4 separate regions of the Mus musculus genome follow, and all the other regions are reported to be linked to region 2. The links are microRNA targets in miRTarBase. Many come from high-throughput screens and were not tested one by one. Region 2 holds a microRNA gene; each other region holds the end of a gene's coding sequence.

The links. The annotated mature microRNA mmu-miR-195a-5p reads UAGCAGCACAGAAAUAUUGGC and lies in region 2 at 4,698-4,718, shown strand. An mRNA with a match to its seed (bases 2 to 7 or 8) in the 3' UTR can be bound and repressed. Matches are read on the target gene's strand: a 7mer-m8 pairs with bases 2 to 8, a 7mer-A1 pairs with bases 2 to 7 and ends in A, and an 8mer does both.
Region 1: the mRNA of Trim2 is a reported target of mmu-miR-195a-5p. Seed matches in the 3' UTR shown: 8mer at 2,639-2,646.
Region 3: the mRNA of Mapkap1 is a reported target of mmu-miR-195a-5p. Seed matches in the 3' UTR shown: 7mer-m8 at 2,781-2,787, 7mer-m8 at 3,420-3,426, 7mer-m8 at 3,423-3,429, 7mer-m8 at 3,426-3,432, 7mer-m8 at 3,429-3,435, 7mer-m8 at 3,432-3,438 and 19 more.
Region 4: the mRNA of Cdk6 is a reported target of mmu-miR-195a-5p. Seed matches in the 3' UTR shown: 8mer at 914-921.

The regions. Positions count from the first base shown.
Region 1 is chr3:84,159,485-84,167,192 of GRCm38, forward strand. Trim2 (tripartite motif-containing 2) reads right to left here. Exons shown (of 12, transcript NM_001271727.1): 12 at 955-5,765. The coding sequence ends at 5,613. Among named protein-coding and RNA genes, the nearest start is that of Mnd1, 7.6 kb to the left of the region's middle.
Region 2 is chr11:70,230,365-70,238,072 of GRCm38, forward strand. Mir195a (microRNA 195a) reads left to right here and starts at 4,678; the gene lies at 4,678-4,771. 0610010K14Rik (RIKEN cDNA 0610010K14 gene) reads right to left here and starts at 7,550. Exons shown (of 6, transcript NM_145758.1): 1 at 7,420-7,550; 2 at 7,167-7,261; 3 at 6,513-6,614; 4 at 5,660-5,847; 5 at 5,332-5,436; 6 at 4,840-5,100. The coding sequence starts at 7,440. The coding sequence ends at 5,096. It overlaps Mir497b (microRNA 497b), which reads right to left and starts at 4,452; the gene lies at 4,328-4,452. Mir497 (microRNA 497) reads left to right here and starts at 4,353; the gene lies at 4,353-4,436.
Region 3 is chr2:34,620,979-34,628,686 of GRCm38, forward strand. Mapkap1 (mitogen-activated protein kinase associated protein 1) reads left to right here. Exons shown (of 12, transcript NM_177345.4): 12 at 2,445-3,980. The coding sequence ends at 2,570. Among named protein-coding and RNA genes, the nearest start is that of Gm34372, 14 kb to the right of the region's middle.
Region 4 is chr5:3,517,758-3,525,465 of GRCm38, reverse strand. It overlaps Cdk6 (cyclin-dependent kinase 6), which reads right to left. Exons shown (of 8, transcript NM_009873.3): 7 at 5,972-6,107; 8 at 1-4,821. The coding sequence ends at 4,675. Among named protein-coding and RNA genes, the nearest start is that of Fam133b, 22 kb to the left of the region's middle.

The DNA.
Region 1 (7,708 bases), not on the chromosome of region 2:
AATCCGAGTGAACATCTGAGGTATCAGATGATGGGAGCCGCTCCTCTCTAAATCTTATAGACTCTAGAGAGCCCATGATGGCAATGGTTCATACCTGGAGAAGAGGAAAAGTGAAAGGTGGGAAGCAGGAGGCCCAGTGCAAGCTCGGGGCCAGCCTGAGCTACATAAGAAACAACAATAATTTTAAAAAAGTGAAAAACAAAGATGGGAATTGATAAAAATAAATATTATTACAGTCAGTAGCCAGAAATGTCAATTTGGGTCTTTATTCTCATTTCTGTTGTTTTATCTCTCTGTGTAAGGCTAACTCTAACCCTCTCTTTCAGAGTTCCAGTCTGTTCTGAAGTAGAAAACATGACATGAGCATGACAGCTCAGATATGGCACAGGGAGACACTGTTTGAGAGGTGTTTTCTTGAATTTGAGGACTGTGGTAACAAGTTTCTTTAAGAAGAATAGACACACACACTTACCATCAAGCTACCAGACACTGAACTCCCAGAGGACCGTTTGACCTATTCTCTAGATGGTTCTGTGGCTTGAAGTACATATCTGGCCATTTGATATAATACAGAATAATACAGAATTCTTTACCATGATGAACTCTGTGTCACTATATTCTTGATCCAAGAAGTACTAGTTGTAGTGAGGTCCCTCTTGGGTCCCTGCCCCTAGTAGTGTCTGCCATGGCCAGCAGAAGGCCATCTGATCTTGAAATCCATTGAGGATTACAAGTAAGCACACTGCCCATTGTGTCAAGGTTTCCCCAACTCCTGTTTCAGACACATCTAACAACTAGCAAGTGGTGAGCAGCACAACCCACAGAAATGGCACTCAGGTTCTCTTCTCCACTCCAAACAGTTGCGTCAAGGCATTGCAATCTTCCATATGTTCTAGCGCGATAGTTCCCACTCCCCTTCACACAGGGGGCAATCTGTTGAATAAACACTCAGTCTGCAGGTGGAGAGAACAAGCTTTATTATAATGATCTGAGACTTTTGTGCATGGTAACGATATACACTCGAGTCTTGTTTCTCCTGTGTTTCAAGACAGAATTAATTTAAAGTTTTATAGACTAAAGCATCCAAAATACTGTGGTACGGATGTAGCTACGAACATACAAACACACTGATGCACGGCGTCCGTTCTTCTATTTAAACAGGCAGTCAGCATTTCAATTCATAAAAGAACATATGAGGAGGCTATATCATTATCAATGGCAGAAAACACAAGACCAGTGGTCTGTACACAAAATGTATGAGACAGATGTGTCAAGGTGGAATGTACAAAATCTTCAAAGAAACGAAAAGGGAACAAACAACCCCCATTCTCGTAGGCAGCCTCCGATGGCTGCAGTCAGGAATGGTGAGAAAGAACGTTAGCAGAGGGTACTGTGTTGATAGCACAACGTCCCACGTTATAAAGCAAAAGCATGAGGTTAAGGCTGTGTTGCTTTCAAAAGTTAATGGAAGTGCTGTACATTCATTGGAACAACATAGCTGATTATTAATCTCTTCTAGAATACTAATGAATCGCATCCATACATTCTCCACAAACAGACCACACAATCAACTACCACACAGTTCATTAGAAAGTGTTTTTGAAGATTAGCGTCATGATTTGTAGCTTACTGTCATTTGAAACAAAACCAAAAAAAAAAGTATTTATTTATACCAAACAAATATTTAATGGGCACTTAGTTTCCTTTATGGCAATACTAGATTCCTAGTTATCAAAAATATTAAAATAATTGTAAAATTTTAAACACCCTGCAACATTTACATAAAGTAACAGTATTAGGACTTTTGATTTTAAGGGAAATTAGAAAGGTTTGCATCAGGCAGCTTCAATGCTATCCTACTTGGAAAAAGGTCTTGTTTTAAAAGCATTCACCAAAAACAGAAATTCCTCTTCCCTGTTCAGAAGCTGGTGAACAGAGAGGGTGATCTACAGTTCAAATGCATAGAGAGACTTTTCCCATTTGATGTGACCTACAGATGGCCTGATGTTGATCTGATCTCTCCAATTTCCTCCGTAGGTATTACCAAAGCATTTATGCTAACCCTTTAGAGCGAGGCTCCATATACCTGGTTACGTCCCGCTATTCCAGTTCATTCCCCGTGAGGACATACATACCCTGTACATGTAGTGGGAGCAGATGTGCAACAGCTGCATGGACCAGGGGTGCTTATTGCCTCAAATTTTGTCAAGTTTAGGAAACTCGGGGGCTTATTTGGTTACAGAGACTAAAGTTTCATCAAAATCTTACACATCATTTAAACACCAGCAAACAGTCATAACAACTTTCTAATTGTGTGTTTCTGGATAGTCAAAGTGACTCCCTACCACCCTGTGTCCAGCAAGGGAGGTTTATGGCGGGAGAAGACACACTATCGTTAACCTATAAAACCTAACTGCTTGTCCTTAGTGCCCAAGGGAAAGCTGAACGCTTACTTTCTCAGTGCTACGTATCATGAATGTGTGACGGGTTCTATACACTCAACGAAGATCAATTGGACAGTAACAGTAGCCTAGAACAAAAAAAGCCACTTATTGTAATAATCCTTCTCAGTTTACCAGAAACCATTCTGACCAAATGAGACAAAATTCCATTTAGACCTTGTCTATTTATATCTTAGTAGCAGCACTCCACCCCCAACCCCCAATTCGCTTACCACAAAGAAATACAGTGAACACACACAGGTACCCAGGTGTAGAATGTAGTGTTTCTTGCAGTGCCCACAGCAGGTGCTTTAGTAGCCAATGGTGGAACAGGTCTAAATTAAATTACCCTTTCATTCCAGTTCATACCAATATTTGTGTGTTAAGAAAAAAAAATTTGTGTTATTTCTTATTGAGCTATCAAGCCTGACATGATATTTTATATGTGCAGCTGATTCATTTACGAATTAATTTCTCAGTTCACAAATATCTCAACATTGTACAAAATGAGAACTCATTTGGTAAATTCATTTTCAAAATAAGAGTTGCAACGTGGAGGTGTGGCTCAGTTGCAGAGCCCTGATTCCATCTCCAGCACCACAAAACAAAGAACCAACCAACCAACCAAAAACAGCCCATGGCAGCCTCTTTAAAAAATGTTTTCTGGCCGGGCAGTGGTGGCACACGCCATTAATCCCAGCACTTGGGAGTCAGAGGCAGGTGGATTTCTGCATTCGAGGCCAACCTGGTCTACAGAGTGAGTTCCAAGACAGCCAGGGCTACATTGAGAAACCCCGTCTTGGAAAACAAAAAACAAAAACAAAATTTCTACTTTTACATTTTTAATTTCTACAATTAATTTACTCATTTTTTTTTAAAAAAAGCTTTCTTTTAAGTAGCCCAGAAACAGAAACAGTCCTGCAGGCAGACTATTAAAGCACAACGATGTCTCCTTTCCAGAGTATAAGCTGTACAAGGGCAGAGATGCCTTTCTCTTCTAAGCATCCCTCTGGTCCCAGTGCCTAGATGCATTCCTGGCCCCTGGTCGGAAGCCTGGAGGGAGAAACACTGACATTCATACTGAGGGTTGGGCTGCAGGCTCTGCCCGACTGTAGGGCTCTTGCTGAATATCTCTGAGGCCGTGAGTACCATCCCCAGCACCAAGAAAAAAAAATTACAACCAAAATATCAAAGACTTATTTCATGATATTCAGAAGCAGTCTTACCTTATCGTTCTAAAATTGGTATTAAATTTTATGTCTAGTAAAGACAGGCTTGTGTATTTTAAAACCCCACAGAACTAAAATAATAATAAGCTAAATACCAATGTAAATCTTCTGAAAATAAAGTTTTTCCACCCAGATGTTGATTTGGGCATAATGAATTAAATAGACCACTGGAAGTAGCCAGATTTCCCTTCTAAATTTTTTTAAAAAATTTATGTCAAGAACATTTGAATTTTAAGATAATAAGCCATAAACATCATCATTTGTATCTAAGGGAAGATGTCTTTTACAGTAGATATCTAAGGTGCTTTCGGTGAATGACATCACAGCGTCATCATCAAACATGCAAAGCACAACATTCCTATTTGGTAGAACTGAGTAGAAAATCAGTGGAAAGAGAACACATCTTAGTTTACAGTATCCATGACAGGTAATGTTTCTCAAATGCATTTATACCTAAATGAAAGGTAACTCAAACTCAATGTTATAAAGACTTCTTTCTTTCTTTCTCTCTTTCTCTTTCTTTCTTTCTTTCTTTCTTTCTTTCTTTCTTTCTTTCTTTCTTTCTTTCTTCCTCCCCTTCTTCCTTTTTTTCTTCCTTTCTTTCTTTTTTTTCTTGAACACAAAGAAGGTAATTTGACTGGAAGCCAGACATCACCATCATGCCAGGAAATGGCAGCACAGAAAGCTGCTGTGGGGCTCACTCTCCAGGGACGGCTTCAGACTGCAACAGGCAGGGAATGTACTGAAGGATGGCTGGACAATGCTTCTGTCTTTCAGAGTGCTGCCTATTCCCGCACACCAAGGACTCAGCTATATATTTATATATATATATATATGTATAATACATTCTATCTTACCCTAACCATGTATACTTGCCCCCTTAATGCCTCTACTACTCATTAGACAATGATAAATAACCACAACATGCCCTTACCTGTAATGCTCAACAGAACTTTGGTAACACTTGCTCTCTAAGGGGAAATCATGAATCAATCACATGCCTTTGGTTGACACCATCCATCCTCCAAAGGGCTGCTTATGGCTCTCTGTCCTAGGACACTGGCGTCTGACTACATGTGCTGACGTTTTGCAGGAGGTAAAGCTTTCGCTTTCGTGATGTGGAAGAGGAAAGACACATGAACGCATGGCACATGAATGTGACTTCTCTTGATTCCATTCCAGTGTGTTGATCTGAAGCTAGTAACCAAAGAGTCCCCTTGCTTTTGCTACGTGCCTTCCAAAGCATCGGGAATTTCAGGTTTTCCTGAAAATATATTTCATTTTCTGATGCAAGGTGAGCAGAAATGAGAAGGTGAAGAGAACACATGGAAACGATCTTTGATCAAACCCAGGAAATTTGGGGAATTTGCATTGATTCTGATGGGCTCAACTCAGGGCCTGAGTTGAACTGAAAGGATCTTGCAAGACAGCCTTGGATTTTTCTAAGGTAATTTATATGTGGTTGTTGATAAGCAAAAACATGTCACCAGAATAATAACACCTACTGTAAAAGTGAGGTTAGAAGGTCCCTTGGGTCTTGTGATCGAAGTTAAATAAAATAGGCAACTACAAGTTTTGTTCTTGGAAGCTCTATGCAAAGGCTATCATTCATTCACCAGTCAACAGATACGCTAATTCTTTTTAACGTCTGATTTGCAAAATTAGTTTAACTACAGAAATCCCTGTCCTATGAGCCATAGTTCATGGGTGTAAAACTTCGCAGTTTGTATAGATTCAGTAGAAGAAGATTCTTTTTAAATCCTAAAAGTGAATTACGGAAATTGGATAGACAGTTTTTAAAGAAATGGTTACATTCAGAAATAACCTTGGGAAGTTCACCGAAGATTCTTCCTAGTATGAAAAGTCCTATCGTAGTCTGGTCCCACCTTGAGAACTCCATTCCAGTTTCTAGTGCAAGACCTCAGTACAGAGCTGTCCACTGTTACTGTAAGTACCGGTAGACCTTGAAACAGTGGTTTCCGGAGTCTGCAACCACAACATGGCCATCTGAAGTGAGAGCCAGGCCCTGGGGGCCATAGAGCGGGTCAGCAGATGTGTTGATATAGGACAAAAATGATCCACTCCCATCAAAAACCTGCATAGACATAAGACCAGAGCATCAGGGAAGTTACATATGCAGAAGGACATGCATTTAAAATAAGGAACGCATGTCAGGATCCTTCTGAGCTTGCTCAGGCTGCTGCTGTGCACACAGAGTATTGATGGTTAACCTTGGTTGTTGATCTAGTTGGTTCTAGAAACAATGATGAGATGGGTTCTAGAAACATCCATAAGTATGTCTCCTAAAAACATGACCTGGAGGGGAAAGAGGTGACTCTCCCTCGGTGTGGGCAGAACCTCCTTGTTGTGGCCCAGGCCTAAGGAGATCTGGGAGAGAAGTTGCTGCTTTTGGCCTACTGCTTTCTGTCCCGGCTGGTGGGTGCATCTGCCTTGTTGGTGCATCTGCCACCACTGCTATCCTCATTTGCTGACACTGGAACCCAGCTTCTGTAACCTTCCAGGACAGGCTGAAGACCTGAGGTTCTCTCGAAATCCTCTAGGGCAGTGATTCTCAACCCCTTTGGCAAACCCCTATCTTCAAAAGTATATTACAAGCAGTTACAATAGCAAAGCTACAGTTGTGAAATGGCAACAATAATAATTTTATAGCTGGGGTCACTGCAACATGAGGAACCGTCTTAAAGGGTCCCAGCATTAGGAAGGTTGAGAACTACTGCTCAGGGCCTAGAGTCTAGCCCTTAAACTGCCATGTGGGGACTGCTGAGGCAGAGGCATGGTGGGCTGAGAAGCTCCCAGTGTCTCGGCCTTTTCAGCATACAGAGGACGATGGTTGGACTCACCAGCCTGAGTCATGGAAGCCAATCTAATAGCTGTTTTGTGACATGCATTCAGTCTGTTCTGTCCCAGTGAGGACCCTAGCACAGCACCCTTGTCTCCATTTCCACCTGTTTTGTTTCCTCTCCTGCTCTCTCCATGACTAGATCACTGACGTAGAACTTGTTGGCTGCCGTGTCTTATCTTACTATGGCTGTGCCAAGACAAAACAGATTTCATTTTTCCTTGTCGAAGTCTATAGTTCAATGTGCCCATCTGGATAGGCAACTGCTTCTTTTATGGTCCATGTGATTCTGCTGTGATGAAATTCAGAGACACAAACCCTGACTCATAACACTTTCTCCTTTACAAGTTCCCAGGCTGGGTTCCTTCTAACCATTTTGTTTAGCCCACGTGGGGTTTGAGAAATAATGTAAGTAGGTGGATGCCATGAGGCCACACAATATAAACAGCATCCACGGGCCTTTGGAGCTCGCCTGCCTCCTGCCTTCTAAAGTACCCTCCTACCGACTACAGTGAGACTATGGGTAGAGATCTTTTGAGACAGGGTCTCACATAGTCAGGCTAGCCCCAAACTTGTTATGTAGTCAACCCTAAATGGCTGTTGATCTTTCTGTCTCTACTTCCCAAGTGCTGGGATCACATGTCTGTGCAACCATGCCCAGCTTACACGGTACTGGGGATTGAACTCAGAACCTTATACATACTAGAGGAGCAGTATACCAACTGAGCTACTACACGTATCTTCATCCCAGAACGTCTCTATGAATACAGAAGTCAGAGTAATTAAGATATATAGTATATACTTATATTATATATAATTGTATAGCATATAATATAGATGATAGATCTTATATACATGGGAAATATATACATAAGAGAAATATATATGTGGAAAGTAAAATCATTACACTGATAGTCTCAATTATTTTCTTGATTATACAGGGAGTTCATAGTCAACTTGGGCTATATAGACTATGTCTTAAAGAAATGAAAAAATACACAAAATTAAATATGTGTAGTATAACCATCTATAAGGCTTGAAGTCAGTCAAGCTGGACTTGAACTTTCTACATAGATGAAGACAACCTGAATTACTTATCTTTCTTTTTCTACTTCCCCATGTACTGGGGGTATGGGCAAGTGTCACCATATCAGGTTTTGGATGTTTGCTAACTGGCA
Region 2 (7,708 bases):
CCCTCGAGGAGGTGGGGAAAACCCCGGGTGGGGACCGAGAGACGCTCGGGAGACCTAGGCGTCCGGCCTCCTACTCTCGACTCTCTTCTCAACCCTTATAGGGATCCAGAGATACAGACTCCCGCCTAAAGCCCTGACGCTCTCCATCAGTCCTAGCTTACTAGGGCTTCGAGCACCCGCCCGTCGGCTGCGCTTAGAGTCTGGCGGGACGCCGGGGTCCAGCGCGGCAAGTAGGCAAAGCTCGGCAATGTCTGCATCCTTCCACGAGAGGGCGGTCGAGCACCAGCCTCGCTTCGCCCCTAGGTCTCCTGGCTGGTGATGTGCTCAGACCAGTGAGCTGGATGCATTCGGTCCAGGCTACAGGAAACTTTCAGCTGCCTTCTCTTTCTGATAGTTTCCTCTGCACCTCTGTCTCTTTGTGGGGCAGTAGATCGAAGACAGAAGAGTTAGGGTCTCCGCAGGAAATTCAGGCTAGAACTCTTATGGAAGGCTTTGGAATGAACATAGTGGTTAGGATGAGATGGGGTCTTGAGCCTGGGAACACAGTTGTTTTGTTTTCTAATTTGATAGACCCTTCTACCCAGATGTTTGTAGACAGGAATTTTCAATGAACATTAATATGAGCATTGGTCGGAGTAAACAGAGAGGACAGAGGAGAAAGGGCAGGAGGAACCTGGTAGCTAAGTACTTCATTCAGAAGCTAGGCAGGGACCACACCCTTAGATTTTGTTTGGGGAGCCTTGGGATAGAAGGACAAGTTTCCTTTGAAGAAGAGGGGCAGAGCTGAACCCAGGTACAAAGCAGGAGCTCTTTGAGTTTGGGGTTTGGAGCATAGCAGTTGTGCAAGAATGGACCAGCATATCTAGGCCTGAGGCCTCTCCCTTCTGTTCTTGGGGGTGGAGTACATTTTGTTTGTTTTATTGGTTTTGATTTTTTTTTTTTTTAAGCAAACGTAGCAAACAAAACTGCAAACCAACTGGGGGTTGGGGATAGCTAGGGACCCTGGATGACGATGTGGCTTTACTTTGTGAAGATTATTTGGTCTCTATCCAATTTTCATCTCCAAATTTGAGGTGAAAACATTAAGGGCTTTGATGTCAGGACAGAGTTAGCTATTCTGAGTTTTGGGGTGTCACTTGCCATAGAAGTTATTGTAGTCAATAAGGCCTGTTTTTAGTCTCGACAGCTGATAGCAAATTGGAGGTGCGGGGCTGGTTTTAAAGATGTCTTAGTTCGGGGGTTTGGAGGGATTTGATGCTCCCATGTGAGACTGTCCATCTCTAATTTCTGGTCTACTGGGGGAGCATGAGTACGCAACTAATTTGGGGGACATAGTCTCTTTCCAAGTGCTGTTTCAAGGTTTGGATGAGATTGTTTGGGGACATAAAGGTCAACTTGGGGCTTTTTAGAGAGCCCAGTTACATTGAGTTGGTGGCAGAGCCAGAAGCTAGGAGAGGATCTGAAGGCTTTCTGTAGCTGAGAGCTTGATTGATGGGGGGGCAAAGTTTTGTATTTGAATCTTGTGGAAACTCATTTTGAGGGTTGGATATTCCTGTGAACATGTTTATGTGTGAAACTCCTCCACAGGAGAGAATTGAGAAGCCCCCCCAGGGTAGAAGGATAGTTTGGGGGGTATCCAGTTTCTGGGTGTTTTGCCACTGGCCACATTTGGTGAAGCTGAGAGGTGGGTCATAAATTGAAATTGATTTGGAGGTTCACCTATTCTAAAGCACACTTCTGACTTAGGTTATCTTTTGCTGATAGTCCCCTGGCACCCCAGATTGTAAAAAAAATTAGTGAACCCCCAAATAAGGCCAGAATTTGAAGGGTGAAGCCTGGAAAAAGCAGTGTGGTCCATCATAGACTCACTGGAATATGACCTGTTGTGCTAAGGGGGGAAAGGTGGCTTCATACTCTGAACCCCGATTTCTTATGGAAGAAAAAATCCGTTTGGAGGAGATGGGGTGTCTCTTGTTAAAGTGGGTACTTTCTGACTAACAGTGCTGCTGAAACTGGCAAGGAAAGGCTGTGATGGTCTACAAGGGGGGGGTGAATCTTGCACCCTGATATTTTAAGATAAGAGCCCCAAAGAGAAAGCAGACAGAGGATTGGGAATGAGGGTGAACTGAGAGGCGGGGGAGGGGTTTCCAACGGCAGCAGGGGCTAGAGGGTAAGCCAGGCCAGATATTCCCGCCTAGGTCCCTGCTCTCTTCGGCTCTCCTCCCCTCTCTCCCTCCCACCGCCCACCCCCCCAACTCAAGGAAAAAAAAACTGCCTGTGCAATAGCAATGGCAGATTCCAGTCCTCCAGGCTTTCCTAAACCACCACCGAGACCAGCCAGGGGGGAGGGGAGGGGAGGGGAGGATCGGGCTTTCCTGCTTCCTTGAGACAGGGGCAATGAGCTTGACCTCTTGGCCCCTAGCCTTCTAAAGAGTGTCCCCCGGTCTGGAAACCAGGTGTCCTGGACCCTAGCCCCCAAGCGGGGGGGCCTGGAGAAACGGGGAGGAGGAAGGAGGGAGTGACTTCCAAAATTGGCATCGGGACAGAGCAGGGCTGGCGGGAGGCAGGAGAAAGACAGAATTTTCCTGAAAAAACGGGGGTATCTAAGGACCCCAAATTTGGGTAGCTAGTTCAGGACCATCTTCCCAACATCCTAGATTTTTTTGGGATTTTTTGGGGGCCCCGGGATCCCTCTAGATGGGGTGAGGAATGTAGTGTTGGGGGAATCTGACTGGGGCAATGCAGCTGCCTCTCCCGCCGAGTTGGAGACGGATGGGCTGGGACGGGTTTTGGGGGGGTGTCCCCAGTTCTGACTGGGAGTGGAGGAACCCCTCCAGAGCTCTCTTGTGGGGGTCCCCCACCCCAGGGCACTCCCCAGTCCTTGAGCCAGCTGAGAGGAAGGAGGCCAGCGATGCGACTGGGGCGTCTCTTTTCTCCTGCACCCCAAATGTGAGGGATGCACCCCAAAATTTGCTCCTTTCAAAATAGGGGACCAGGATCTCAGGGGAGAGTAGCTGAGGTAAGTGGGGAGGAAAGTGTCCCCTGTTTTCAGGAGAGACGTGGCGGTTGGGGGGGAGGTTTGGAGGTGCGTGCTGGGGTGGGGTTGCGCCTTGTAACTCTTGAAATTGGGGGGATGACCAGAGAAGCTTTCTCTTGTACCCCTAAGACGTAGCACCTCATACTGAAACCAAAGCTTGAGACTTGAGAGCCCCCAATATTCCTACAGACATTAGGACAGTGTTTGCTTTTTTTTTTTTTTAGCCCCACAAAAGCTTTGCTGGGATGGGAGCTGGGGGACAGCAGTTGTTTCTGGGGGTCCAGGAGGGTGCAAGGAGCAGGAGGCGTTGGCAGGGCTTGATATAGGTGATCTGGTAGTCTTGGAGAGGGTCTGGCATACTAGGGGGGCCTAAAAAGATTGCTTCACACACCATCTTAAATCTTTTGATTGCTAAGAGTTTTGGGGGGGTGTGTCGGAAGCCTGGTGGTGCTAAAAGGTGGGATGAGATATGGGAGGTTAATATCTAGGGTTTACAGAGTTTTGTTTTGTTTTGAAATTTCCAGAAGAAACTTTTGCCTTCTGGGAGGTTCTTTTTAAAATCAAGTCTTGGACAGGAGGAAAGGGCTATGGGAAGGCCTAGGGTTGGGGGTGGGGAAAAGGCATGTTTGTCTTTGCTTAAACGTGGCTCTCAGGGGTGGGCCTGCTTGCCTGGGCCTGGTGAATGGGCTAATGAGTGTTGCTGTGTGGGTGGGGCGTGGGTCTTGGGGGACCATGGGGAATGGAAGCAGCACTTGGGGTTGAATACTTTGCCCTCTGGTCCAGATGAGCCTCTTCCTGGGCTCTGCTGCATCCCTTTCTCCCTGGCCTCCATTTCCTGCCTTTGGCCTCCATCTTGTGGCAGGCCCAGGGCCCAGGGCGACTTCCGGCCCCCCTCTCTCAACCGTGTTCCAGCCCCACCACCTCTGGACTGCCAACTCCCAACCCTGCTGTCCTTGGCCCTGTGTCTTCCAGCATTTCTCTTGGGTTCTGACCTAGGGAGGGAGGAATGGACACAGGAAACCTTAGGTCCCTGCCTTTGTGGGAGGCAGTTTGTTGGTCTTCCCCAGTCATCCCGTTTCCTAAGGATCCCCAGAGCTGAATTCCTACAGAGGTGAAGAATGCTCCAAGCTTATCACATTGGACTCATCTGCCAGGGCCCTATCCTTTGCCTGCTAAACTACTTTTGCTGGTTCCTGATTGTTCCCCCCCCCCAGCTTTTTTGGGGGGCCATGTTTGCCATTCACACCTCTGTCTCACTCTAGGTGGGGGTCTTCACGGCACTGCCTGTGCTGTCTTCCTCTCGACCCACCCCAGTCCTGCCCCCGCCCCAGCAGCACACTGTGGTTTGTACGGCACTGTGGCCACGTCCAAACCACACTGTGGTGTTAGAGCGAGGGTATGGGAGGCACCGATGAGCCTGGCCCTGGGAGGCCACCCTGGAGAAGCAACACACACACACACACACACACACACACACACACACACACACCGTCTAGGGTATTGTGATGAAGTTCTTGCAAGGTGGGACAGGAGACACTGGAAAGAGCCCCTCTGCAACCCCCAGGTTGTCTGATACCAGTTATCAGGAACCCTGGTAATGAGTTCTGGCCCCACAGAGCAAAGTAGAGTCTTTGTTGCCCACACCCAACTCTCCTGGCTCTAGCAGCACAGAAATATTGGCATGGGGAAGTGAGTCTGCCAATATTGGCTGTGCTGCTCCAGGCAGGGTGGTGAGAGCTACTGAGAAGGGGCCAAGCCCCGAGGGCGAAGCAGAGGAGAGGGAACGGCAGCTGGCAGCACCATGTTGAGAGAATCTTTTTTAATTATAATTTTCTGTATAAAAATGTCCATCACACAGAAGTCAAAGGGCGAGGGCACATGGTTATCAGGAACGAGGTGGATGGCTCCAGCAGCCCTCTGACCCTCTCTCAGGCAGTCCTTGCTTAGAGTCCCAGGTGATCCACAGGTCCAGGGTGAACAATGAGGGTCAGAGGTGGAAGGCTCAGCAGGAGAGGAGAGGAGCATCAGCGGAGGTGGTGAGGAGGCCAGAGTCCAGGGTCAGGCTGTCTGGAACAGGAAGGAAAACGGACAGAGATGGAGCAAGCGTGGAGGATTTTTCCAAGAAAACCCTCACCTCCTCAAACGCCGTATTACTAACTGACCCATTCCCCTGCACTGAATCTTCCTTCTGAGGCCCCTGCACCAGAAAGGGGTTTTCTGTGGGGACCCTCCCCTACCATCCAGGTGAGTATGTTCCCCACCCCCAGCCAGCGTGGGAGGAGGAGGACTCCTACCCTGGTCAAAGTTGAGTTTCTTGGCTGGAGGAGTTTCTCCTAGCCCTTCGACATCCACCAGGTCACTGTTGGCGTCGGAGTCGTTCAGAGCACTGAGTGTCACATCTGGGAGGGGGCATAGGCTAAGTTCTAGGTTTCCCTGACTGCTGTCTTTCCCTCCTCCCAGTCTGCCAAAGCTTCATGCTCTACACATCCCTCTACCCACTCTGGAATCACCAGCGTACAGAAGAGAAGCGTCTCTCCTTCTTTGACCCAGGCCCAATTCTCTTATTGAATCTCAGATAGGACCTTTAACCCCTACCCTAGGCAGCAACTCCACAGCCCTCACCAGCCTTCTGTTTCTTTATGGGAGGAACCCCAGCTTCAGGGACACTGGAGCTGCTGGGTGGAGGGGCGTTTGGAGGTGAGAGGACACCGGACGTCATCTTCTTGGGTCCTTTCTTGGGTGACTCAGCTGGAAGGGGGATGCCGGAGTCTTCATACACTTTTCGCTTCACAGTGGTCTTTATCTGAGCCCTGAAGATGAGAGAGAGCAGATTAGGGTGTCATCAGAGAAGCCGAGGGAAGAGGGGAGGGGAGGGAATAATGGGCCACTCTGAAGGAATTCTAGGAGTTCCTTTGTAGATATCCAGGTCAAGGCCCCAGTTCATGTGTAATAAGGGTCCTCCCCCCCCCCCCCACGTTCAGAACTTTTGCATCCACTTAGGGCTAATAGATTAAGATGAATGGAGTCCCTGAACTGAGTGGCCAGAAAGGCCCTTTTCATGATCCTCTGGGAGAGATGCATGGTTTTGTAGGACCACCAGGTATGTTGTGGTGACATAAAGGTAGACTGAGACTGTCATAGAACCTGACCAACTAATTAGTTCAGAATGCATCCCCTGGACATGCCAGTTTCAAAGGATTTACATAAATAGCTAGGGAACTCTTATCATCAAACACAACCACTGAGTATCTGGGCACCATGAAAATAAAGTTCTCTGCAGGCCCTAGTGACCACTGCATTTCCTGATCTTCCGACCAACTGCCACAGTGACAGTCTCTCAGTCTTCAAGGAAATGCTAACAAAACTAGGAACAAAGTAGGAAAGATGCTGAGCTGGGAGTTCTGAGAGAGAACAATGGGTCAGGAGGAAGAAAGTTGCCCACCCTCCCCTTTCTCTGCCAGCCACCCTCCCTCACACTGTCCGTTCCTTGATGACACAGCTGATGTGATTAAGATCGTCCCCAAAGCGCTTCACAGCAGCCCTCAGCATCTCTATCTCCGTCTCCGTCCACTTGGCACTGTCGGAAGGGGAGAAGGGTGATAACAAAAGTGGAAGAGGGATGTGTGGAACCAGCCCACAGGCTATTCCGTCCACAGCCAGCAGCCTCTTCCCCCTAGTCTCTAGGGGCACCTTTCAAAGATTCATAAAAAGGACCTCCTTTTAAAAAAAAAAAAGCCCTGGGGACAAATCGCTGGCCACATGAAATTACATCCAGGGCCACTTGAAAACATCACTTCATCATGTAACAGCTTCCATAAACAACCCAACGGAAACCAATGAAACAAGTAGGGGCCTTACAAACACAACCCTTGAAAGATGTGTGGCAGCAGTTTGAGGGAGTCCACAGGGCTTGGGGTAGGTGGCAGACATTCTGTCGGTTTGCAGTGGAGGGCTGTGGCCTCGGTAGTCTCTTTACCTGTCATCCACTAATTCAACAATTACCACCTACACTGAGCTGGGCCAGGCACAGGGGAATTACTCTATCTCCCTGCTCTAGAGAGGGTCGTGTCTGTGACTTGAGTCCAAGCGTCTGATCTCGGAGTCCAGGTCCTAGGCTGGTCTCACGTACCCGGCAGGGGAAGAGTCCGAGACTGGATGCAGCTGCATCGTCAACTCCCCGAGCTTCGTGAAGGCGGCGCCGGCCGCGGAGAAGATCTCTCCAACCTGGGGGCGGAGCAGCATTACGGGGGGCCGGCAGCGCGCCGTCCCACCCCAGCCTCGGATCCGCCCGCCCCCCGCCCAGCGCGCACCAGCCGGGAGCCAGGCAGGGGGCCCACCCTCCCGTGGCCGCCAGGGAGCGCAGTCCGCGAGGGAGGTCGAACCTTGGTGGACGCTGACGTCATGGCCCCGCGCACCTCCTCACGGAGACGCTCCGCCGCCACCACCACCACGCGAGCTGGAAACCACGGAGAGCCCGGCAGCCGGCCGCTCGGGCTCCCGCGCAGGAAGTCCCGCCCTCCCTGCAGCTGATTGGCCGAGACCCGACCTCTCCCCAGTCACTCAAGGGGCCTCGCCGCGCGGAGGAAGACGAGGTGGAAGACGTTGCTTCACTTCCGGCTAGCTTCATTCCACTTCCGTCGGAGGGTCCGGACTCCTCGATGAGGCCGGTCT
Region 3 (7,708 bases), not on the chromosome of region 2:
ATAAGCTGGCCGAAGCAGCGCTTGATGGTAGGTGGGTGTGGCAGATTCTGGAATGTGTAGCCAGTAGCCAAGGCTCCCTGGCTTTATAGGAAGACTGTAGTTCAAACACCACATGGCCACCAGGAAATCACCCTGGAAGACAGTTAAAGAGGAGAAAGAGCATAGGCAGGCATGGAATTTCCCAGGCCACACTGAGCAGAGTTCCCCAGAGACCAGCATGAGGACCGTGCCCACTCTACACCACAGATCTCCAGGGAGCCAAGAGTTACTTAGCGGAACCTCACAAGGCAGTCCAAGGAGCAAGTCCCAGGTATTTGCAGAGTGGGTAAAAATATCCCAGTCTCCCCCTCCTGGACTTATTTTTATAGCCAGCATTAAAATATTCAAGATGTGAGAAGGATTCTAGTAAAATTATAATCTTGTGTTTGACATCAGAATAATTTTCACAACAGCAGATTGATGACAGAAACACAGGTTTATGACTTGAGTATGAGACGGAAGATCAAGTGCAGAGAAATCATTCCAGGACCAAATGCTCCCTCAGAGCACATGCTTTTTGCAACTCCCCCCCGCCCCCGGCCCCCACCTCTAGGCCTGCCTCTTCCCCTGAAATGTCTGTCTCAGGGAAACATCTCAGGGTGTTGGGCGAAATCTCACGCCATCATGCACCTCAGAGGCCTCCGTCCCCGGCCTGCCTGACTCACAGCTAATGGTTAGTGTCCTGACCAAAGGCTGAAGTGCACTTTCCTCTCTTTGAGAAGGTTGTACGTCAGCTTTCTAACATTCCCTCCGTGCCTCAGCCAGGCCAGTGTCAGCTTTGTGCCAGAGCTCAGCTTCCAAGACCCCAGCCCAGCTCCAGAATTTGACAGAAATGTTAAGTTGAGGCTCTGTAGGATCCACCTCAGACTCAAGTAAAAATGAGAGTTTAGATCAAAAATAAATAGAGAAATTAAGACCCAAAGACTGTTGCAGCTTAGCCATCACAGACAGAGGCTTTCTGTAGGATGATGAAGGGGGCCTCAGTAAGGGCATGTCTCACACCCTGTATCCCATCTAACCCTCCCCACTGGCCTGCAGCATAAGGACATCATTGTCCCCATTTTTGAGGTGAGGAGATGGAGGCCCCAGGTCTCAGGGGATGCAGAGCCTCAATGGAGCCCGTGCTGCTTACGGCTGCCGTCCACCTTCCACATATGCTGGCGCACACAGGCCCTCCTTCCACTGGCCTGAGATGAATCTCTGAGGAACTGTTGGGCTCTTCACACCGGGTTCTTCTGTGATTGAGTGATGGAGGCTGTGGCTTTATTGACCATGAAAACTCCCTATATTTTTATGCCTTAAGCTGTAAAGTGCATCGAAAGTAAAACCCTCTATAGTGCATAAAATTGGGCACGTTTTAAGCCACAGCATATTAACCAGCTAATGGCAGACCAAAGGGCGTTTTTATCTTTTGATTATTACATTAATCTTGCATTAAAATTATCTATGTGATTATCACAAAGTACTGAAGATAATAAATTTAGGAAATAGTTGGCTTGTTAAGGACCATTTTAAAATGCTTTTGTCAAATTAAAAGTGCCAAAAATACACTACAAACGCCAGGTCAGCTGAGTGCAAGCACTGTACGTGGCATTTACCAAGCATGAGGACGCCTCCTGCCATCCCCACCAAGTCCACGCCGGCCCAAAGCACCCTTGCCAACCTACATCCTGATTTATGACTCTCAGCTGGTAAGTTGGCAAGGCTGCGGCCGGGTGAGGCGGGCCTTCTGTATCCGCATGCCTGCCTGTACCTCCTACTGTTGAAAGTTTGGAGGGACATTGTCAGAGCCTCAGTCTGCAACTGCCCTGCTCAAGAGCCTCTAGCTGCCTTCTCCAAACCAAGGCTGGGCTTTCTGGTGAGGCTTCGGAACGTGTGAGAGTGAAAGAATTGTGTTTTCACAAAAAGCCAGGCAGGAAAGCCATGTCTGAAGGTCCACAGGTGGCCCAGAAAAGACACACACAGCCAACTGAAGTCAACCCTGACCCCAGTGGCCTCAGCCCTTGCAGTCCTCTGAGCCTCACTTTGCGTACTTGGTCCTGGCTGGTAGGTGCAGCGGACAATAGAGGACACATGCCAGGCTATCAGGAGGCAGAGGATGTGCTGCCTCGCGTGTTTTCCTCGGGAGCTGGCTGGACATGTCTGAGAGTAGGCAGCCCTCTGAGACACCGAAGAGCACAAGCCTAGGGGTGGGTCAGCAGCCCCACTGCTCAGCAACTGAGAAGCCTGCACTGGGCCTCCATCTATATGAACCGAGGGCTTCCTCCTGGCCTGCCAGACTGCACCGTGTCAGAGCAGCTGCTCCCAGGATCCCTTGCCCAAACATGGCCTCCCTTCCACCCCAAGCTCTGCCCTGGGGGAACAGCTGGTGCTGCCAAGTGATGCCGTGTCCTCTTGCTTTCTAGGTTAACTACATCCTGGAATCACGAGCGAGCACTGCCCGAGCTGATTATCTTGCTCAAAAACAAAGAAAACTGAACAGGCGAACAAGCTTCAGCTTCCAGAAGGAGAAGAAATCAGGGCAGCAGTGACACTGGCCTCTAGTCTGGTGCCACAGCCCAGGTGGCCTGCAAGGCCAGGTGGACCGGAGTCCACCAGCATCCTGTAGTGCCGAGACCCGCAGGCACAGGCTGCTGGGCTCTAGGGGAAGGTTTAGAGGTAGGGGTGCGATTGGACTGAAACTTGGCAATGGTTCTAAGTAGCAATGCCCAGGAGCCAGGCCACCTCCTGGAGGGGCTGAGTGCTGCTCAGCCGTGTGTCCTGCCTGGCAGTCCCAGCAAGACTGTACATAGCCATGCCAGACATCTCCTTGCAACTTGATCAAATTTCTTAAAGCAAACAAAGAACAAAAGTGTACATTTCTCTTTCTTTCCTTTTAATAAACAGGTATACTCTTTATCGTGGTTGGTATGATGGACCATTCTTTGGGGTAGAGGATTGACTATATTATCTTCCTTAAAATCTGTTCCCATATTGAACAGGCAGATTACAAAAGCTGTGGTTGGAGCTCTCAGAAGCAATGTTTAGGGCTTAGCCAGTAGTTTAACTGTGCCATTTGTTTAAATAAGTGATTTGCTTTGAGAATAGCATCTTACTAAAGTTAGGAATTGAGGACCTAGCATGTGCCCAGCGTAAGTGCATGCGTGGGTGCGTGCGTGCGTGCGTGCGTGCGTGCGTAGCCTTCTAAGGCCTTCTCAACATGTCAGCGCCTGTGATCTGAGAGACAGGTGCTGGTAATATAGTGTGACAGTGTCTCCAAGTGGTGCTGAGTTCCCAGCCAGGGTCTTCTCTCATCTCCTCATAGCAAGTATGATATGGTCAGCCTGCCTCTCTGACCTATCTCCAATCCTCTTACCGGTGCCTGCTGTGGAGCCAGACGCTGCTGCTGCTGCTGCTGCTGCTGCTGCTGCTGCTGCTGCTGCTGCTGCTGCTGCTGCTGCTGCTGCTGCTGCTGCTATACTGAATCAGGGAGAAGGAGAGCAAGCCCTGGGCAGAAAAGGCAAGGTACCCAGCACCCTGACACCACACCACACCTCTGTCTACACCAGATGCCTCTGCAGACCTCACCATGGTCCCGCCTGTGGCAGCATCCTTGGGCCAGGGCCACAGCCGATATCTTATACGACCTGTGTTTAGGACATTTTTTAAATCATTGTGTCTAAGCATCTCAGAGTCAAGTGTGCTTCTTTGCAAAGGGGTCGACTGAATGAATGCCTCTCTCATTCTGATCTGTTCAGCCAACAGGAGCACCCTTTTCTAATGTCTTCCATTCCTATCTCCCCCCAAAAGAAATATTATTTGTAGCTTGCTCTGTATTTGAATTTTTAGCAATTTTATATTTAGATATCTTTGAAATTGTAAATGACTAATTTGGTCATTAAATCTTGTCACATATTCAATATTAAAATACTAAAATAAAAGTCATAAATACCCTCTTTTGTATATTGCTTTGAATTCCTAAATCCTTGCACACACGGTGCTGAGATGGTGATGTCACAGCAAGTCCCCGGGGGTGACACCCTGGCATTTGATAATGCAGCACACACTGCTGATATGGTGATGTCATAGCAGATCCCTGGGGTGACACCCTGGCACTTGAAAATGCCCAGCCATGCTAAGCTGTACACAAGCCACGTCTAGTCGTCCTTTACTCCCGGGACGCTGGGATCTCTGGCTCTGCTCTCCACAGTTGCTGGCACATGGCTCTCAGCTGGTTAGGTTCTCAGGGGTTTGAGTTGCCTGGTGTCACAGTCCACGGCTGTGATAGGTGGGCGGCGGTGGCCCTCACTCCTTGGGCAGTGGTGAGCCAGCCTGCTGGTTGGTTGCATTTGCCATGAAGACGCTTCCCTAGGACATCTGATCTCAGGGGTGTCAGTACTGTCTAGCCTAATCTCTGAGCCTCAGCCAGCACCTCTGGCTACAGTGCTGTCAAGCCCCATGGTGTCCCTATTGGCCAACGTAGTCATCCTAACTACCTATCACCTACCTGCTGACTGTAAGCCCTCCAACTGGGCATGGTTAGCCAACAATGTGGCGATACTCTGCTGATGTGTCCTTCCCAGCTTATTATTATCCTCATGGAGTCAAAGGCTGGTAGGTAGGCAGCCCCACCGCTCATATCCCTTCTAGCTGCCTTCAGGGGCTCCCCATCTCCTTAGATCCAGGGCTGTAACACATGGGAGTAAGGACCAATAAAGTTATGCAGTCCCTCACCAGAGTGCACTACAATCCCAGCTGTTCCTGGTTGCTGGGCCTTTATGTGAATTACTTGACTCCATTGACCCTCAGTTTCCCCTTTTGTAAAATGAAGGTGAAACTGGTTCCTTTCTAGGGTGCTTGTGAGGGTTCAATATGTTCGCTATTAAGAGTGGACCAAGTCACCTTTAATTCCATCACTTAGGAGGCAGGAGCGGGTGGATCCCTGGGGAGTTCAAGGTTAGCCTGGTCTACAGAGAGAATTCCAGGCCAGCCAAGGCTACGTATTGAGACCCTGTCTCAAAACAGAAAGGGAGATGGAGAGATGGTTCAATAGTTAAGAGGATTGATCACTCTTCCAGAGGACCCAAGGTTCTGTTCTCAGCACTCATATGGTAGCTCACAATTGTCGATGACTCCAGTTTCAGGGGATCTTGTGCCCCCTTCTGATCTCTTTGGATATCAGGCACACCTGTGATGCTCAGACATCCATGTAGACGCAACACCATACACATCAAGGGAAAACATTTTTTTAAGATGTATTTATTTTATATATGTGAGTACATTGTGATGCAGTCTTCAGACACACCCTCTGAAGAGGGCATCAGATCCCACTACAGATGGTTGTGAGCCACCATGTGGTTGCTGGGAATTGAACTCAGGACTTCTAGAAGAGCAGTCAGTGCTCTTAACCATTGAGCCACCTCTCCAGTCCCAAGGAAAAACATTTTTAAACCACCCATCCAAGTACCGCACAAATCATGGCATGCACAAGAGTCACACCACAGGGTGGGCATTAACCACCTTTGGAATTTTTGAGACTATTTTTATCACATTTTGTTCTATGGGTGGCAGGTACACACATGTGGAGGTCAGAGAACAATTTGGAGTTTGTTCTCCTTCAGCCATGAGTCCTATGCTCAAACTCAGGTCATGAGGCTTGGCAGAAAGTGCCTTTACCCTGGGAGCCATCTCATCACCCTGCCTTGGTGATGTCTACCAGTGCCCACCCTGGTCTGAATTTCACAGGCTGTAGGCTCACATTTCTATTTCACAAATCTTGGCCACCCCAAGCCAAGCCCTCCCACACTTTACAGATGAGGAAAGGAAAGCCACTCGTGGTCCTGGCCTGCTTTCCTTCTGTTGGTGTGATAAACACTGACCAAAAGCAGCTTGAGGAAAGAAAGGGTATGTTCATCTGTGAGTTCTAGGCCACAGTGCGTTGTGAGATAACCTGGAGGCAGGAGCTGATGCAGAGGCCAGACTGGCACCCAGGACCACCTACCCAGGAATGGCACCACCCTCAGTGGCCTGGTGCCTTTCACAATTATCAATCAGTGATGTCCCCAAGCTTGCCTGTAATCTGGACTGAGGAGAGCAATTCCTCAGTAGAGAATCCCTCTTCCCAAGTGACCAAACACACGTCCTGTCTATCCACCCATCTGCCCCCAGCCCACTGGCAGGCAGGGAGTGGGCAGCTGGGAGGCCCAAAGCACGAATATCTGTCTCCACCACACTCCTCGGAGAGCTGCAGAGCCCCTCTGGGGAGCGCTGTTTCTTGTGGACCCCCCCCCCATGCCAACAGTGCTCTCAGTGTGACGGGCAGGAGGGCTCCCATCGCAGTGGCTGCCGCTCACTCACCTCCTGATGAGACAAACACATGCTGAGGTCTGGAATCAGAAGTTAATGTGCCCATTTATTCATTTTTCTGACAAGTCACAATAGATTTTTAACTGCCAATGAGTAACCTCCCTAAGGTGCGGTGGCCGTGAGTGGTCATTTCCGCCCAACATCCCCTGCTGGCCGCCTCTCCTGGATCCAGGCCAGTTCTGCTCTCTTGTGCACCCCACCCAGCCTCCTCAAGGTTACCAGGAGATGGCTCCTGCAACGCAGCACACAGGACCCTACAGCCAGGGATCCAGTTGCCTGTAAGGTGGAGGATGCGAGAGGCTAACTTGTAGTGGAGTTCAGGCAAAGGAGGAAAAGAAAAGGCTAAGCTTGCCCCCTTCCCCACCCCCACCCCCGCTGTAGCCCAGGGAGCCAACTGAGGAACCCACAGAGGAAATTAACATCTACCTCCCTGTGCTGTGCTGAGCCCACACCCATGACTCAGCTCTCTGAACCCCTTGTCTGCACAAGCATAGCCACGTCCCACCGTCTGTGAAATGAACACAGTGATGTGCACGGGCCTGGCGTGTGCATTGGGGCACAGGTAAGAGGTAACTGTGCAGCCCAACCACGCACAGAACACACTGGCCACCCCGTCCCACCAGCAGGGCCTCCTCAGTGCAGGGCAGACCCTGTCTGAGCTTTGCCTCCAAGAGCCCCAGCCAGCAGCTGGCCCTGCTCTCTTCCACCACATCAGCTGAGCAGCCCCAGGCAGGCCTTGCATCTACACACAACTGCTGGGATCCGTGGGAAATACTGGAAAGCTAATTCTTTTTAAACAGATAAAATCCGTCTGTGGTACAGCCCCCAGCTTCCTGAAAGCTAAAAGTATTTTAATGTCATATTTCCATGCAAATTTTAGTTTAGAATTTAATACCCTTTTTAACATACATTAAATTTTTAGCATTCTTCAAGCCCTTGACTGTGTTAAGAACTTAACTGATGTGTGTTGGGGAAGAGGGAGAAAAAAAAAAAAAACAGCTGGAGGAAGCTGTAAATTAAGAAAGTTCTAGAAGCAAGGTTACCACAAATCTTTATGGCCACCTCCTTTGGGGTGATATTTTTCTGCATGAACCCTAGCATGCTGGGGAAGAGTTGGAAGACTGCAGTCCTCGTGGGGACATCGACTGTGACTGGTAGCTTCCCTGGGAGTGGAGGGTCCCCACAGGAGGCTAACAACATGGCTTTGCAGCTACACAGCAGGTCTCAGCGTTGCTGTGCCATTTGCTGCACGAGGCTCTTGCTTGCTTGGCTGTCACCTTACCTAAGGTTCAGGCACAGGACTGAGTAGAAAGGAAAAGAGAAA
Region 4 (7,708 bases), not on the chromosome of region 2:
AAGGCCTTTTAAACTTTAATTTTGTATAGATATTCTTAGGCATATATATGAGTAGAGCTTCAGATGGCTGCTTTCTTCCTATGAAACAAGAAATACAGAATTTGTGTATTTTGACATACCTAGTCCATAAGTGCTGAATGTGCGGGATGACTTATAATTATACTTAATTATAATTCTTAGAATATACTTAAAGGCAAACAAATATGGTTAACAATTTATGTAAAAATTAAAATAACCTTAAACATACTGTTGCCACTTTTTTGGTAATTTTTAAAGATTAAGAAATTATACAATGTCTTTAATTTCATGTTACAAGCAAGCATGTATTCTTCCAATGGCTATCCATATGTGCTTACACAAGTGTCACACTGGGATGGGGATTTTCAATGTTATTCTTTCCTAGACTCTACTATGTGACAAAAGTGTGCTTTAAGAAAATGTGAGCCACTTCTGTGCTCATCATAAAAAATAGTCAGCTGTCATGGTGGTGCATGTCTTTAGTTTTAGCAGGCAGATCTACATGAGTTCAAGGCCAGCCTGGTCTACACACTGAGTTCCAGGATAGCCAGGGCTTCACAGAGAGACCCCATCTCAGGAAAAACAAAACAAGACAAGACAAAAAGCCAAAACCAAAATCAGGTTTTCTCCAGAAGAGGAGTTCTTTGGACAGAAGATTGAAACAACTGTGATGTTTGAAAGTTGACATGATTTAACTCCCACAGTGACGATGGCTGTGACTGGCTTTAGTAGTCACAGCTTTTAATAAAGCAGCTATGTTTACTTAAAAGACAAGTTCAGGACATTCTTTAAAACTCAAAATGCTTGCTCCTGACTTTCTCAAGCAAGTTGGCTAGCACCCATTGCAGGGTGGACGGCACAGCTTTCTATTCAAAGGAAAGTATTGTCTTTGAGATAGCAGCACCCTGTGCAACTTGGGGTCTTCATTTTTACTTAGCACGACCATGTGGAGGTCCTATTTTTAAGTGAGCTTCTGAGCTGAGTTTAGTAAATCACTTGGGGCTAAATTCAAGTCTACTGGTCAGAGAGTGGGTCCTGAGAGAAAAAACATGACAAGCTGGGGGCAGAAATGGCCCCGTGCTACCTGAACAGCTTCTCCATGGCTTAACCGTCTGTCGTCTTTAAAGAGGGGCTGAATAGGAGGCGGCGGGCCACTGGGTGCTCTCAGGTACTCGGCAACTGTGTTTCTAAGGCTGTCAGGTTAGGACTACTCACCTGTGAGGTTAGGGGGTCTAACTGGAGAACCCGCCCTACCCTCTTTAAGAGGTTGTTGTAACTCCAGCCAGTCCTGTAAATGGTAGAGTCTCTGGAACCAAACCTTGAACAGAAGCTATTCGGTATATTCTTGCCCTAGTCTCACTAAAAGCTGCTTCAGTGGAACCTCAGGGCAGTAGGGTCTCCTCAGTGAATCAATGGTTAGATTCTGACAAAGACCTGTGACTGGATGAGGCCATCTAAGGATAAGCGGCACACAGTAAGCTCTTCAGTTTACTCTATGTTTCCCTGGGCTACTAAAGACCCCAATGGCAAGTCTCCTTGTGTGAAAACCGGGTTTCAGAGGTGTGAGTCTGATGTAAAGACATATCCAGAGAGCACCTATATGAATGAAGAGCTGGCCAGACATATGATGTCCTGAGAGGTTGCGGCGCCCTTTCTCTACCATCCACCACAATACGCCATGTTTCTAATACCAACATGTCTATGATTTAAAAATATTACTCAAAGTTTGGAGTGGGCTGAGGAGGGTAGCTCATGCCTTTAGTTCAAGCACACTCGAGACAGAGGCAAGTGGATCTCTGAGTTTGAGGCTAGCCTGGTCTACAGAGCAAGTTCTAGGACAGCCAGGGCCACATAGAGAAACCCTGCCTAGAAAAAGCAAATTAAACAACAACAAAAAAACAAACTAAACAACTAACCAACCAAACCCAAAAGCCAAACACATAAACACACACACACACACACACACACAAACAAAGCCAAAAAAAAAAAAGACCCCAAAATTAACCTCCCACTACCTCACTCACCAAAAGCCAAAACAAAACTACTTAGAAATAAGCTCAAGACAGCTGACAAAAGTGAAGTTAAACTCTATACTTAAGACTCTAAAGAATACGGGAAGATTCCAGTTTAGGATAGCTGTATTTTTCTTGAGCAAAGCTAAGGAAAACAATCCTTTCTTTTTTCTTTTTCTTCCTTTCTTTTTTTTTCTTTCTTTCTTTTTTTTTTTTGGCGAAAGCAAAACCCTCAAAATTATTTTCACTTTATCACATGGATGTTAATATAGAATGGATTAGGCCTCAATGCAGTGAGTTTTATGGTCGATTTCTAGGCCCTAGCAAAAATGTCTGTATTTTGGACCTTGTTCAATGACAAGGCAGAACTCGCTGTCCAAGTGAGACCTCGAGTAGACCTTGTCCCAGAGGTTCCAGGCTGACTGTCTCGAGCGTTGGCAGTGTCGGCAGCAGAGCTGTGAGGACGAGCGCAGAACATTCTCAGCCTAGCCTCTGGCTTCTTAAAGTTTTGTTTTTGAAAAAAGAAAAAATCCTTTCTTGCGATACTGAATCAGAAGAATGTAATGTAATGTTAAAAATAAAAATAAACAGAAGAAGATGATTCCCAACCTCCAAAGCTCTCAGGAAAGACATCTAATTCTTCTCCATACAGATAACCATATGCAAAGCCGGGCGTGGTGGCGCACGCCTTTGATCCCAGCACTTGGGAGGCAGAGGCAGGCGCATTTCTGAATTCGAGGCCAGCCTGGTCTACAGAGTGAGTTCCAGGACAGCCAGGGCTACACAGAGAAACCAAAAAACAAACAAACAAATAACCACATGCATTGTTCAGCTACGAGAAACACAGTAAGGTCCATAACATACAAACACCATCTGGAGCCTACACTGCCGTGTGAAACATCAGGCAGTCTTTCAAAGCTCTACAGTGAAGCATCATCTAGCGTTTACTTAAATGTGCTCAAACACGATTCAAACAAAACTCAGCTACGCTTCCCGAAAGCTGCCTTCTACACCTTCTATGGAGTAGTGCCAGCTTAGCACTAAGCCACGGATATAATAAGGCAAAGGTGGCACAGAATGTAAAGGACTGAAAGAAAACAGTAAGGTACAGTTGTTTATAATGCCCAGGGTAGGCTGGCTCTGCAGAAAGCAGGGCTGACATGAGGCCTCAGACAAAAAAAAAAAAAAAAAAAAAAAAAGAACAAAAACCCAGAAACACATCCTGCGGACAGACAGAGAGATCACTTTAGAGAGTAAGTAGTTATCTCTAGAAGAGAGGAAAAGACATTTCCTCAGACATTACACTGACAACATACACTTAAAGATAGGAAACACCAAGTGACAGTCGGTAGTAGTCTATACACACACAGAACAAGCACTCTTCACTGCCTAGGTGACCTCAGCTGCGGCAGGGGGAAGACTGTATTACAAAGGCACAAGGGGATACTGTTAGGGTTTCGGAATGGGAGCCTACGCCCAAAGCATTCGGTGAAAGACGGTAAGCGTGCAAGCGGGTGTGGGATTGGGGCAGCTGGGCCATCTGTCGTTAGCCAGGCAGTGGCAGGAAAATGAATTAGAAGTGCTGGTGGTTGAGAGCTTCGCACTACACAAGGCAGCACAAGGCAGATGCGCCATGGTGGGTGGTGGAGACAGCTAGATGGTATTCCCGCCTCTAGTCAGAGCAGGAAGTGATTCCCTAAGGTGACAAGGTATCAAGGTATCAAGAGACGTGAAGAAAATGATAACATCTCACACCAGAAAACAGGTGCTCTCTATCTTTAAAACCTATCTGAGGTACACTCACTCCTTAAATGTATTGCAAGTAATAAGATACTTATAGCATCTTTCCCCAAAGAAACAATTAAGTACATACTGTACTATATATAGGGCCTGGGACACATTAAGTTCAGCTTTCCAAAGAGTAAATAGAAGATGTATGCCTTAAAAAGTCTCTTAAAAAATATTGTGGTTCCCCCCATTTTTTGTGGCATCTAAACCTTTATTGTTTACTGCTAGCAAAAGCTTTTGGACAGGAAGGCAACTCTGAGGACTTAGGTCCAACCTTCCTAACAAGACTCCATTGTGAATCACCTTTCACTGAACAAGCCCTTCTTACTATCAGTCACCTCTACTCTTTAAAACTCAATTATTCTTGTTTTCTACAAAAAAAAAGTAACACTTGACGAGATCAGGGGTCTTTCTCTCCCCTCCTCTTCTCTCTTACACACACATACGCATGCACACACACTCACAAGTACCAAAGCAGGCCCAGCAGCTGCAGGCGGATTACATCATAACTCAGCTGGGCCTGGATTCCCACCCTACACTGGCAGCATTCAAGGTTAGAAAACGAAATGGCAGCACAATTGGTCAGCAGCTTCTCTTCTTCTGGAAGTTTTCCAGGTTCTTGAAACAAACAGACAAAACAAACAAGTGTACAAACGAACATAAAGCTGCAATCACCCTTGCATTGATCTCTGAACAGTAAACTAGGTGGTTTCCTTGGTAAGGCAGAGCCCACCCAGAAGCTGGCAGCCAGAAGGTTGGCAGCCAGCAATCTTCAACTGCTCTGAGAGGCTTGCTTAGGGGACTCGCAGCCGCCAATGTGTTCAGATGACGAGCTCATGGGCATCCCCGTGGAACCTCAGGCTGTGTTCAGCTCCGAGGTGCTCTGGTTGGATGGCAGGTGAGAGTTCAGGTTGTCCTTGTATCTCTCCAGATCTTGGAAGTACGGGTGATTCAGGGCGCCGTAGGCGGATATCCTTTTAGCTGGATTAAACGTCAGGCATTTCTGCAATACAGAGAACATCTGGTGTGAAACATAGCACGGCCAACCCTGGACCTTGGGGGAAGTCTTGGAAAAGGTGGCTAAAATTTTTCCACAGTTCTATTTGGGGAGAAAAGTCACCAGCACGACATGAACTAAAGTAAAACACCCCGACACAAGAAGTGCTGCTTCCGTAAAAACAATTAATGTGATTACCAGACACCTGACTTAAAATTACCTTCTAGTATCACAACTTACTCAAGGGTTGAACATTCTCACCTTTCTTCAAGCTGCCCTGACCACATAACTGACCTAGGCCTTTGGTCATGGTTCTACTTGCCTCCATGAGAAAAACATGCCACCAGGCAGGGTGAGACACACAGACACATGCAGGTTTGATAGACCCACGGTCTGAATCAAGAGTACGGGCTCCTAATTCAGGATCAATAACAGACTTATTCTTCATAGGGCTCTGACTCTGAGAACAGAAGGAAGAGGGCCTTCTGTGTCTGCAGGAAGGACATTATACACAACACCAACAACGAGGAGTTTGAGTTTCAAAATACAAAAGTGCTTATTAAAAAAAAAAAAACTTCATTTTAAGAATAAGTATTCGCGTCTCTGTGTGTGGGAATGTGCGTTTGAACCCAAGCGCCTGTGGGGCCAAGAGTGTCTCTGGAGCTAGAGTTCCAGGCTGCTGTAAGCTGCTGGGTACAGGTGCTGAGAACTGAACTTGGGCCCTCTGCAAAAATGATACATATTCTTGAGAACGGAGACACCTCTCCAGCCCTAGGATCTTGTTTTTAATGGGATATCTTATATGTGAATAGCACACAAGGTACTTATTCAGTAAATCAATAACTACAAGTATGGTTACTTGGTTCCTTTGGGGGGAAATATTTTGCAAAGATGCGACTAGCACGTTGCTTCAAGTGGCATGAAACTTCAAGCGAAGAAAAGCAATTTCTTGTCAAGAAGCCTTTGCCCAAGGAACCTAGCGTCTCATAAAGCTTCGTCCAAATTCACATTCAAGTGTTGAGAGCTGGGTTAGGAAGACATTGCAGAATCAAAACTCACCAGCTGGAAACGGAATCCACAAAAACAAATACAGCCTCCCACGCCACGTCGTTGCCACATGGTTGGGGCACAAGGTGACGGCATCCCAGGAACTTACCAGAAGTAGGTCTTTGCCTAGTTCGTCAATATCTGTCACAAACTTCTCGATGGGTTGAGCAGATTTGGAATGAAAAGCCTGCCGGGGAAGGGCCACGTCCCTAGGCCAGTCTTCCTCTCCTGGGAGTCCAATGATGCTACGGAAGAACCAGACGGGAATGTAAATGCCTGCGGTTTAAACATGACCTTCCTTACCAAATCTTAGAGCGGCACAGGGAGAACCCCACCTCATGGCAGAAAGGACTTCTCATTTACCCTACTGCAAACTTCACTGACAAGAGGAAGTGTCTGTCCCTGGCAGCAGACCCCCGATGGAAGGTGTGTATGTGAATGGCACTGGTGCAGCCAGGGAGAAGTCCCGGCTTAGTGACAGGGCAGGGCGCCCCCCTGGTGTAAGTCTTGGTGTAGTGACAAGGCAGGGTCTGCCATTCTGAAGGACACTCATCAGATATACCAAGTCTTCACCTACACCCGAAGCTTCGCTTTGTGGTGTGATACAACAGTTCTGTGAAAATGTGTTTTCAGGCAGCTCGTCCGGCACGGCTTGTGACACGCATCACTTTGGCTGAGGTTCGTAAATTAAAGAGCAATATTCTAAACCATTACATAAATTAGACTCAAAGATAAGGTTAAAAACTACGATGGGCCTGTCTTATGGAAGCGCTGTGTAATGGTATTCCAGAGTGAGAAACAGAAAATTAGAAAGGGTATCATTTAGATTCCCCCCTGACTACCATTCTGGGATCAGAAATGTGGAGGAAACAGCGAGTCATAAAAGAGCTTTGGAAATAGGCGGACGTGGCTTCAAATTCAGCACCTGCCCTTAATTGACAGGTAAGGACAAATTACATGACAACTATGAGCCCTGGTGTCTTTATGTACGTGACAACAATAATTTATGGTTACAATGAGGGTTGGCGGTAATTTACTGAAACTGCACATTACAGTACCATTTGTTACTTATTAATGGTAAGCAGGTGGCCCTATATGATTTATCCAGGTGTAGTATTATTTATAGTTTATGTATAGGTGCTAAGTGTATTTGGACGGTACAGACTCAGTAACTCTGAACTAAAAGAAGACAAAATCACAGTTGAGCGGACAGGATATATGGTGACCTAGATAATGATCCAAACTATTTTAACCCTAACTAGAAATGGCGCTGGCCTGAATTAAGGTTCTGTTCTGACTTCCTGACGCGCAGGCCTAGAAAGCGTGGTCACAAGCATCTTTTAGGAAAGGAGGTGGTAAATGTCACAGGATAATATAATGTGACAGGTAAATGTCACAGGGCTTTATCACTGTTCCCTTCCCTTTACAGAGCCCAGGTCACAGACCTCCCTGGAAAGAGCAGCTTCGCCATCACCCACGCACATGCCCCTGGGTGCCGAGGCAAGACACTAACTCTGTCCCCACTGGGCATCTGCAGAGAGTTACATTACTCAGGCATACAAAGACTCATGGATAGACTTCCTGGAATCATTGAGCAAAATCATGACTTGGGCATCATATAAGTGTGCTCAATAGCCAGGTCTATAGTGGGTAATGAAGGGGTAAAAATGTTGTCATAATCACGAAAAGTAACATGGGGATGGGTTTGGGTAGTATGGGATATGGCTGACAAACAGTTTGAAATGTGTGCCCTTTTGTACAAGGACTTTAGTACATCCTCATTATCAGCCCCTTAGGAACGGATTGTAATCATGCTTAGACTTTAAATCACTTTATTGACAGACAG